Caenorhabditis elegans: one gene and its partner. The protein of the gene in region 2 interacts with the protein of the main gene of each other region in a biochemical or structural test. Each region holds a gene or a part of one and is shown on either strand. Other genes may lie near its edges.

The links.
Region 1: of the proteins of mdf-1 (region 2) and akt-1, one has a biochemical effect on the other in vitro, tested with the Caenorhabditis elegans proteins (one study listed by BioGRID).

Annotation. Positions count from the first base shown.
Region 1 is NC_003283.11:10,246,735-10,253,372, forward strand, and holds akt-1 (Serine/threonine-protein kinase akt-1), read left to right. Parts: upstream 1-2,170; 5' UTR 2,171-2,221; coding exon 2,222-2,325; intron 2,326-3,120; coding exon 3,121-3,229; intron 3,230-3,303; coding exon 3,304-3,492; intron 3,493-3,537; coding exon 3,538-3,699; intron 3,700-3,744; coding exon 3,745-3,942; intron 3,943-4,106; coding exon of another isoform or gene 4,107-4,298; intron 4,299-4,592; coding exon 4,593-4,799; intron 4,800-4,942; coding exon 4,943-5,071; intron 5,072-5,118; coding exon 5,119-5,481; intron 5,482-5,537; coding exon 5,538-5,717; 3' UTR 5,718-6,111; downstream 6,112-6,638. Other genes in the region: rop-1 (RNA-binding protein RO60), read right to left, coding at 6,182-6,478, 6,535-6,638. UniProt on the Caenorhabditis elegans protein: Acts downstream of PI3 kinase age-1 and kinase pdk-1 in the daf-2/insulin receptor-like transduction pathway.
Region 2 is NC_003283.11:9,541,145-9,545,999, forward strand, and holds mdf-1 (uncharacterized protein), read right to left. Parts: upstream 3,083-4,855; 5' UTR 3,081-3,082; coding exon 2,876-3,080; intron 2,826-2,875; coding exon 2,265-2,825; intron 2,210-2,264; coding exon 1,941-2,209; intron 1,892-1,940; coding exon 1,017-1,891; intron 931-1,016; coding exon 801-930; 3' UTR 638-800; downstream 1-637. Other genes in the region: C50F4.16 (Uridine diphosphate glucose pyrophosphatase NUDT14), read right to left, coding at 1-218, 267-462; his-35 (Histone H2A), read right to left, coding at 3,624-3,857, 3,990-4,139; his-41 (putative histone H2B 3), read left to right, coding at 4,435-4,569, 4,784-4,855.

The DNA of each region.
Region 1 (6,638 bases), 710 kb from region 2:
TTCCGAGAAAAAACAATAATTTTAAATTACCTCCTCTTTTCACGGCCATGGCCGAGAAGTTCGCTGTGTACTTCTCGTGGACAAAAGCAACTGCTAGAGAGAAAACAGTTTTTTGCAACATTTTTGTTGTTTTTTTGTTGTATTTTTCGATTTTGGAACTCGCGCGCGTGGGAGTTTATTTTTATTTTCAGAATATAATAAGCTTTCATCACTCCCACTCCTAAAATACTCTTAAAATTCATATTTCTTTGTTGTTTCATTCAGATGTAAATTAGTGTTCTCCCCTTAAATTTTTTCCAATAATATTCACCTCATAAAAAGCAGGGACAATTCATTTTTTGCAATTGTCGCGAAGCCTCTTCGTTTTCGTTTTGGGATGTAAACAACTCTAGCATGTACTATCTCGCTCTGTCTGCGGCTCGACGCCGCGCCTGTTCCCTCTCTCCGTCCGGCGTCACCGATCATCCATTCCGCGAAGCAAAGCACGCGCGGCCTTTGATCGAAACGTGCACTTTTCCGTACTGCTGTATACTACTGGCAACACCGATATTCGTGCCCGATATCTAACTCAACCGGAGTCTGGCAACACAACCGTTTTTTTTTTCGTTTTCGAACGTTCCTGTTTAAAAAAAAACGTTTAAAAAAGCTTTTCAATGCTTTCAAAAATTAATTAGATAGAAAAACTTTGTTTTCTATTTTTTTTTTTTTTTGGAGATTTCATCAACAACCCACATACTTTCTCTTTTTCCTTCATCAAGTTGTTTGTATTCGTCTCAAGACCGTCAGTTCAAGACCCGGTCTAACCCTATCGGCGCCTCTGTTTGTTGCTTTTCCTTCTTATTTTCCGGTTTTTCTCGCGTTCACTTAATCAAAAAATCATGGCATTGAAACCACATTCGAAGATTTTCTAATTTTGTTACTGAAAAAAAATCTGAAAAAGTGTCTATTTTTCAAATATATTCCCAATTTAACAGTTAATTCGTTATTATTATGTCTCTAATATATCGTTCCGATCGATTAAATTTAGGCACGTTCCGTCTGCGTCTTTCCACGTATGTGCTCCAGTTCCGCTCCTTCTCCCATGGCGTAATCACCCCGCTTTTTTGTATGTTCGTATGCCAGTCGTGGTGCATAATAATCTGTTTCTCTTCGAAAGCTCAGACAAGAGGCAGTGGCCTAATCACTAACTGCGAAAAGTGTATCAAAACCTCTCCTCTTGTTTTTACGTGATGATAATCCGCGTGGTTCATCTCTTCCTTTCTCATTCTCCGTCTCTTAATGTTTTCTCACGATTAATTTTTTTTCGTTTATAGGGTTTCTAAAGTGGCTTATAATTCAAGAGAAATTCTAGAGAAATAATAATTAACATGATTTCCGTAAATTGAATGCCTAATAAGGTTGAGTTAAAAACCAATAATTAAAAATAAGTCGTTTTTGTATATTTATACAGCCGTAAAATGGTTCTCAGACTATTGAAAATTTATCAACTTCAACCAATATGGTCTTTTTTCGCTTGTATACTTCGGCTCTCATAGTATCCCTATTCAAAAATTGTTTGCCGTTAATTTGTTATTCTATTTCACGTTGTTTTGTTGATTTTTCGATAACAAAAGTGCTCGTACATCACAGGTAAACTTTCTGTTTGCATGTTATACAGTATCGATGTGTATAAAATGCCAGAGATCAAAAACTTGAAATTTATGATCAGTGGCATGGTGTTATCGTAGAAATAATCTTGTTTTCCAAGCGGGCAATTCCAGAAAACCGATATTTTCTTTCTTATTTTCCACTGGTTGTCCGTTCCCGTTATTTCTGCTTCTCCTATCTCTTCCTTGTTGGAAAACAAAAAACCACAGACGAACACTCAGAAAACGATATTCTGAAGCAGCAGCGTTACTCATGATGTTGTTGCTGGGCAGTGTCTGAAAATGTTTTCGTGTTCTTGTTTCCGCTGAAATAGGGTCACCACCTCTTTTTTCTCTAAACTCCTATGTCTCTCTCTTCAAATTCTGTCAATTTCCGTCCCTCTGCTTTGTTTGTCACAAAACTCTCTCGTGTGTTTTTTCGCTTTTCTTTTTTTTTATGTTTTCCTTCATTTTCGAATTAAAAGTGTTAAAACTGATTTTCTTAAAAACATAATGAATCTCGATCAAAAAATATTCTAATTTTCAGTCGAAGACGTTACTTCTCCCGAAAGGTTTACGACGGCGCCGGTGAAAGAATGTCGATGACAAGCTTGTCAACGAAGTCTCGAAGACAAGAAGATGTTGTCATTGAGGGATGGCTTCACAAGAAAGGAGAGCACATTCGAAACTGGAGACCAAGGTTTGATTTTTCTATCGGTACTGATCATATATTACCACTGATTCGATAATTTTTATGCTCGAAAAAGTTAGTTAATGATTTCACATCAAAATTTATCTTGAAAACTCCGATGAGTCTTGTTCTCGTTAATCTTTTTATTTTTGTTTTCTACATAAATTCATATATCCGCTTCATCATATACGTCAACTGATTTGTTTTTGCCGCGCACTCGCTCTTATCATGCTTTTCCGGCTGAAAAATCTTCATAAACGTTTTTATGAAGGGGGAATGATGTGACTTCCTGGTAGAGCAGATGATTCTATGTTTGCTACGCTACATAGTACAACTATTCGCTTCAGAATATAATTATTTTCAAACGACTGAAATTAACCGAAAATTAAAGATATCTATGAAATATTCACGATTGCTAAAAACGTATATCATTTTCCTAACAGACAGTACATTGAAAAATTGAATAATAGCAACACGGAAGTGAAACTGTTGTGATTACAGAAAACTCAAAAAATGAAAAACACGATTTTGTGCAGTATTTTTGGATGGTTTTTTTGTTTTTGAGTGTGCATGTCTTCTATCCATAAGTATGTCACCCTTCTCATTTAATGTTCCAAAATAATAAACACATGTGAACGGCGAGTGAGCGATGCGAAAAATAATCAAATTGAAAAAAGAGAGAATGAGTGAGTGCGGAAGTTGAGAGTGACTGAAAACATTTTAAAAAGAAACTCGTCAGAGTGACATAACAAAAAAAACAAAGATGATAAAAGATTGAAAGTTAATGACGTAGAATAATTTCAGATACTTCATGATATTCAATGATGGAGCCTTACTTGGATTTCGAGCAAAGCCTAAGGAAGGACAACCGTTTCCTGAGCCATTGAATGATTTTATGATCAAGGATGCAGCGGTAAGTAGAGATGAGCTTATTTTTCTAAACATCATTCTGCAAAATCATCTACTTTTGCAATATTTTATTTTCAGACAATGTTATTCGAAAAACCACGACCTAACATGTTCATGGTAAGATGCCTTCAGTGGACAACTGTCATTGAGCGAACATTCTATGCGGAGTCGGCAGAAGTTCGTCAGCGTTGGATTCATGCTATTGAGAGCATTTCAAAAAAATACAAAGGCACAAATGCAAATCCACAAGAGGAATTAATGGAAACCGTAAAAATTACACCTTGATCCAGCTTTTTTGAAAAATTCTTTTAGAATCAGCAGCCAAAAATTGATGAAGACAGTGAATTTGCTGGTGCAGCGCATGCAATTATGGGTCAACCATCTTCGGGACACGGTGATAATTGTTCAATTGACTTCAGAGCGTCTATGATTAGTATTGCTGACACCAGCGAAGCTGCTAAAAGAGACAAAATCGTAAGAAAACCTATCTGATAAAAACCTTTGCAAAAAAAATTACAGACAATGGAAGATTTCGATTTTCTCAAAGTGCTCGGTAAAGGAACATTCGGAAAAGTTATCTTGTGCAAGGAAAAGCGTACTCAAAAGCTTTATGCCATCAAAATTCTCAAAAAAGATGTAATCATTGCTCGCGAAGAAGTTGCTCACACTTTGACAGAAAATCGAGTTCTTCAAAGATGCAAGCATCCGTTCCTTACGGTATGTTTTTTATAAAACTATTTTTATTTATTGATTCAGTTCACTCACTTTTGTTTAAATTTTAACCCCAGCACGTCCTTCTCCTATAATCTTCTACCCCTGAGAGTACAATTATTGTCGTAATTTTTATTGTTTTCCCATAGTGTTTGTGGTCGTATTTTCAGGAACTGAAATATAGTTTCCAAGAGCAACACTATCTTTGTTTTGTGATGCAGTTTGCGAATGGTGGAGAACTTTTTACGCATGTACGTAAATGTGGAACATTTAGTGAACCAAGAGCCCGATTCTACGGAGCCGAGATCGTTCTTGCTCTCGGATACCTTCACCGATGCGATATTGTCTACCGTGATATGAAGGTTCGACGATGAAGAATCTGAATGACGAGCCGAACATAGATTATTTTGTTTCAAAAATGTTTTACAACTATCCGCAGTTGAATTTTACGTAGGATAGCAAGATTCAAACACTTAGAACGTTATGCTATCAACTTATTTATTTTACATTGTAAGTAGTAATGTCTCAGTTTATGTCATGCTTCTTTTTTTTCTTCTTATGGTAACGCTTCTTTTCCGATTCACTAATTTATCTTCTTAGTTCGCAACCCTATAGTTTTTATTCTCTTTCCACGCTTTATTTCTGTATTACTGCAGGAACTGAAATACTCGTTTCAAACAAACGATCGTCTGTGTTTCGTAATGGAGTTTGCCATTGGCGGTGATCTCTATTATCATCTAAATCGAGAAGTGCAGATGAACAAAGAGGGTTTCTCAGAACCTCGAGCCCGTTTCTATGGCTCTGAGATCGTCCTTGCTCTCGGATATCTTCATGCAAATAGCATTGTTTATCGAGATTTGAAGGTTAGAAAAATGTTTATTTATAGAAGTAGAATACAGTAGTCACATAGCGGATAGTTGTAGAACATGTAAAAACTAAGAAAACTATCGGCTCGCCATTCGGATTTTCCCCAAGTCTGTATACAAGTTAAATTATATTTTTTAAGCTTGAAAATTTGCTTCTTGACAAAGATGGACATATTAAAATTGCGGATTTTGGATTATGTAAAGAAGAAATCAGTTTTGGTGACAAAACAAGTACTTTCTGTGGAACTCCGGAGTATCTTGCACCAGAGGTAAAAAAATCTCACTCACTTCTCACATTTAAATGTTTTAATTGCAGGTTCTTGATGATCATGACTACGGACGTTGTGTTGATTGGTGGGGAGTTGGAGTTGTGATGTACGAGATGATGTGTGGAAGGCTTCCATTTTATTCGAAGGATCATAATAAACTATTCGAACTTATCATGGCTGGTGATCTAAGGTTCCCAAGCAAGTTGAGTCAAGAAGCTAGAACTTTGCTCACCGGACTTCTTGTCAAAGATCCAACTCAGCGATTGGGTGGTGGACCCGAAGATGCATTGGAGATTTGTAGAGCAGACTTTTTCCGTACTGTCGATTGGGAAGCAACGTACAGAAAAGAAATCGAGCCACCATATAAGCCAAATGTGCAGTCAGAAACTGATACTAGTTACTTTGATAATGTGAGTTGACTAATACATTTTAAATTTTTTCACTAGAAACAAAGATTTTATTTTAGGAATTCACATCTCAACCAGTTCAACTGACACCGCCTAGTAGAAGCGGAGCCCTTGCTACAGTCGATGAGCAAGAAGAAATGCAATCAAACTTCACACAATTCTCATTCCACAATGTTATGGGAAGTATCAATCGAATTCATGAAGCAAGTGAAGACAACGAAGATTATGATATGGGATAATTTGACACCACAATGGCTTGAATTTAATTAATTGCGATTTTAGCCTGTTTTGCAGACTGTAGAAAACTGACCCCTTTGTCTGACATTCAGATATCCTTTTTTAAACAAATATTTAGTCGTTACAGTGACTATATTTTGATCTATTCTCAGTAAATATCGAATTAAAATGAGAAATCTCTTTGTTTTCATCTCTTCCTGTTCTGCCTCCTTCCCTTTGTATACTATCCTTTTTATTCACCTGAGACCGTAGTTCTTTCCATTTCAAAATTCCATCATCGTTTTGTAATATTACTCACAAGCTACGGTTGTGAAAACCAAATAGCGCCATCATTCGTGGATGTACTATGTTCCTATATCATATCCAACAATCCAAATGAAAGAATTTTATCCTCGTATTTTTATTATGGAATGACAAAATATGAACAAAGAAACATGCGAAATAAATAACAGATCAGTACTATAAATTAGATCTTTCCAGTAACAAACTCGTGAACAATCTGTGGTACAGCCGAATCGAATCCGGTAATGTCGAGCATACCAGCATCAGATGGATCGGCAATCGAGTAGTCATATGCCTGCATTGCCATCACAATGACCTTCGCGTCATGAATACCAGAAGCTTCACGATACTTTTTGATGGCTTCGAATGGATGAATCTCTCCAGCCCAGGTATCGTTGTCGGTGTAGATAATGAAGACATCAAACTTGAGATTATTTTCTGTTGCCCAAGTCATTGGAAGGCCACAATCTGTTCTGCCGAACTGAAAATTCAATAATTTAATATTAAATTCAATATTAAAATCATTATGAAACTTACATCAAGGTTGTTAACGTAGTCATTAACTTGTCCGATCTTCCAATCCTTAGTAAACGGAAGCTCAGTGAGCTTATCACAGAAGGCGACACATCTAACTTCGGCTT
Region 2 (4,855 bases):
TATTACATGAATTAGATCATCAGGATCCACACGATATCCACATTCTTCAGCAACTTCTTCTGATGCAATTTCTCTAGGAGATAATCCTTCCTTGTCAATTAGTCCAGCACAAAGTTCAATGGTGTAGCCAGTTTCAGAATCATAGCTGCTCCAGTCAATTTTATCAAATTCTTTACCGTGATTCTCCGGCGAATTTGAAATTGATGCGGTGAAGATTGCTAAAAAACAACTTAACGCTCACATTTCAATAGAATAAAATTGGAAACCTGGTCGAAATTGACGAACTAGAAGAAATTGCTCTAAATCTCTATGAAATAGAAGAATGGATACACTGCTCATTTTTTGATTGAATTCACTAACACGTGAATTTCCATCCAATGTGTAAGACATCTCCATTCCTTTCTGATATTTTGATACAAAATCAGTCACAAAAGAGACATCACTAATTTTTGACGCTGTCATCTGAAAATATATTTTCTTATATCATTTAATTGCGGTATCATTCAAACTCGTTTTAGAAAAATACAGGATGTTCAAAAACCAATTTTCCTATTTTCATAATGGTATTTCTCCTATATACGAGCAGATAAACTTTAGATTGTACGAAACAATATACCATAGTAAACATTGAATTGGAAAGAAAATATAACGTTCATTGTGTGATTAATTTTGATCACTACACGTTTTAGATTAAAAAATAAATAAATAAAATGGAATGAAACATCAAATATTCAGGTAACAGTGTATTTAACAGCTTCTCCTTTGAAGAAAAATAATTGAGATCTAGATAGCTCAATGATTTAGTCCTCGTGTAAGACACTGAATGTATGTGTTCTCTCATGCATCGTCTCGTCAAAATCTCGATCCTGTTCCAGCTGAAGAGTCATTGCTGCTAAGAAAGCCGGAATCGAATTTCGGTCGCCAATGTACCTGAAAAAACATATTTTAAGAAGATGCCTCACAACAACGGGGAGTATTTATACTTCTAATAGTAAGTAACCAGAAAATTAACAAACTTTTTCATAAGTGGCTCCCACTTTCGAAGCATTTCAGTAGTTGATTCACAGCTGACATCAAGCATATCGATGCGAGGAGTTCCATAGAAATACTTAAACACGAACTGCTGAGCGGAACCACCTTCATATTCGCTTTGTACAGTGCATATTCCTTCGTCTGCATCTTTCAGTTTGATTTGGAGACCGGTCAGAGCAATACAAACTTGCCGGAACTTCGACGAGAGTTCCTTATGAAGATTGTAACTACTTTCGAGTACTTTTTTCTCACTTTCGCAGTCGTAAAGACGCTTCTCCAATTCAGCAAACTCTTGCTCTCTCCATTGATCACCAGCTGGAGCATCTGTCAACTTTCTTTTCCTACTTTCAGACGCTTGGAATTCATTGTGAGCATCTTGGAGTGGATTAGAAGCCATATGGAAAATCTGTGTACTATTTCCGGCATCGGTTGGAGCAGGTAAAGATGCCGGTTCTGAAGCTGGGACAGTTAAAGTCATGCTGAGAACTTCATCGAGCTGAGATTGAGATTCTTCCAACTGTTTCTTGACCTTCTCCAATTCATTGTTGCTCAACTCTAACTGTTCAGAGAGCCGGCTTTTCTCATTTTCAAGGTCTTGGCTTCTGACTCTCTCGCTCGAAAAAGCATCCTCAAGTCGTTCGTTGCGACGAGCACAGTCTGTGCTTTCTCGCATAACTTTCGTCATTCTGGAAGTAGCTGCTTCAAAATCTTTTTCGAGCTGATTGTTCTTCGTAATGAGCTGAGTGATTCTGTCAATGAGCTGCAGTTGCTTAGCGGAATTGTCTGAACTCGAAGGAATTTTCTCGTCTATATTGAACAAGTTCCCTGCTTGGCCAATCCGAATAGCTTCAATCTCACTCTAAAATAAATTAAACGTGAAATTAGTTTAACAATAATTATTCACTCACAAATGTGCTGTCCAACTGCTTATGGAGAGCTTTCTTCTCAAACTCTAAAGTACGATTACGTTCTTCGAAAATCATCGACCTTTCAGCACGCCCACTCGAGACATTCAAACGATCTTTGAGAACACTGTTTTCCAGTAGTAATCGCTGAATTTTCTCATCTTTCTCGTAATCAATAAGTGATCGATTGGCAATGCAGCCATCAGTCATCATTGTTTGATCTTCTGGCATTATGGTGTTATTTGAATCCTCGAGAAGTGTGAAATTGGATTCTGAAAATACGAATATATTTGCCTGCAAACAAAAGTTTGAAAATTCCGGACTTACGAGGTAGAGTAAAGTTAGCAGCCGATTGATCAGCACGAGCGATTTCTCTTTCCGTTTCAGGAGATGGTGGTCTACGGGTAGCAAATGAAACACCTTCATATTCTAGCAGACTTCCTGAACCAAGTTCTTCTACTGTTTCATCATCATAATCGAATTGTTCAAGAGCCCTGTACATCTGTCTTGGAACTGCATTCAATCGTGTAACTTCTTCGTCGTTTTCAAACTTTCCGTCGTTGTCTATGTACAATTTCACAGATTCCAGCTGAGTATTCGCCATTGAGTACCAAGTGTAGTATTTTTTGCCGAATGCTGTCCAAATATCAACGTTTCGATTACACTCTGCGATGGTGTCATCTCGTTCTTGCTTCAGAAGTTCGACTTGCTCTTGCAGCTCCAACATTTTCTCACGATTCGTCTCCAGATCAATGGTTTTTTCAGCCAACTTCGCTTGATTCGTTTGCATCATTTGTTTCATACGTTCGTGATCTTCACGGAGTGTTACCAATTGACGCTGTGCCGACTCTTTTTCTTTTTTTGCACTTGCCAATTCGATTGGAGCCACTAAATAAAATATTTTAAACATTTTTAATAAATGGATTAAGTTAATTTACCAGGTGAGAGTGTCATATCGAAATTGATTTTTCTGGCCTCCACCGGCGCATGTCGACGAAATGTTGCCTGCTTCAGCTTTTTTTCTGTCTCTGCTTTCAACGGAAACTCTCTTTTGAACTGTTTTTTGATTTCTTCAGCGAACAACATTGTAGCTTCCGACTCTTCATATTCGTCTTCATCGACAATGTCTTCATCGTAATTCATGTCTGAAAAAAATCAGTTACATAATGTATTACAGTGAGCGATTCGAATTTTGAGATAGAGATTAATAATATGTTTAATGCAATCAAGGGAAGTCAAACAAATCCATTCGCACAAAAACAGTTTATCGAATGTCACCAAACAAACTGCGAAGAAATCTTAAAAATAACGTCTTCCCGCCCACTTGCAAGGGCGCGGCATTATGCAATGCTGCCGCACACTTTTCCCAGCAATTCTTCAGCCTCATTTTTTATTATTATTTGGTCATTCGGAAACATGTTCGGACACAAGAACATGCAAAAATAGGAAAATATGATCTTGCGAATAGTTTTTTTTTCAAAAATCCGAATTTTGGGAAGTTTCTTACCTGGAAAAATTGTATTTAAAACAAATTCTTATTTTCATTTTAAAAAATAATTTACTGATAACTGCAAAGTATATGAATTTATTTCATTTACAATTCAGCCGAGTAAACAATACATTCAGATGACATATAAATTAACGGGGCGGAGTATCTTTAGTTGCAATATTCATCTGTGACACTGCTTATTCTTTGTCTCCTGCAGTCTTCTTTGGGAGAAGCACGGCTTGGATGTTTGGAAGAACTCCTCCTTGGGCGATGGTGACTCCAGCCAACAGTTTGTTCAATTCCTCGTCATTACGGACAGCGAGTTGGAGATGTCTTGGTGCAATACGGGTTTTCTTGTTGTCACGGGCAGCGTTTCCAGCCAACTCGAGAACTTCGGCGGCGAGGTACTCCAGAACTGCTGCGAGGTACACCTGGAACATTATGTTTTTAAAAAGTACAAGAGCAAAAGTGATATAATTTGGAAAATGCTAGCAAGTTCAGGTTTGAACGATTTTTTAATCTAGGAAATGCACAAAACACAGCAGCTCTAAAATTCTACATACCGGTGCTCCTGCTCCAACACGTTGTGCGTAGTTTCCTTTACGGAGAATACGATGAAGACGACCAACTGGGAATTGAAGTCCAGCTCTCGACGAACGGGACTTGGCCTTTCCACCGGTCTTAGCTTTTCCTCCCTTTCCACGTCCGGACATCTTTGCTGAAATTAGGTTGAATAACAATGAACTAGAAGTCTAGATGAGCAAATTGGAGGTGAAAGAGAAACAGAAAAGTGGTCTAAGCCGACGAAAATCGATGCAAAATACGCATGCGCACACGCGCCCGCCTCTCTATTTAACTATTTCTCTCGGTGTGGGCGGAGTCTAGTTCCGCGGCAGCGAGAGGTGGGGCCACCGCTGGCGAGTATAAAAGCGCTTCGCAGCGCTCATAGACAACACTCGCCAAACACATCGATTCGTTTCGCATTTTCGTTTCGTGTCTCATTCGATCATGGCCCCACCAAAACCATCAGCTAAAGGAGCCAAAAAGGCTGCTAAGACCGTCAGCAAGCCAAAAGACGGAAAGAAAAGAAAGCATGCTCGTAAGGAATCCTACTCGGTCTACATCTACCGTGTTTTAAAGCAGGTGAGAATATATTCAAATCGAATAAGTTATGATAAAAAAATGTTTTAGCCATTAGCATGTTGTATGTTAAAACTACGTACCACTTAGTACGAACTGCAACGATATAATACCGGTATTTAAAAATCATTTAAATTAGTCTTGGGGGATCATAGAAATCAAAATAATATTAAGTAGTTATTCTGTCAAATCAAAAATATTATTAAATAATTTGCAGGTTCACCCAGACACCGGTGTGTCATCCAAGGCTATGTCGATCATGAATTCGTTTGTCAACGATGTCTTCGAG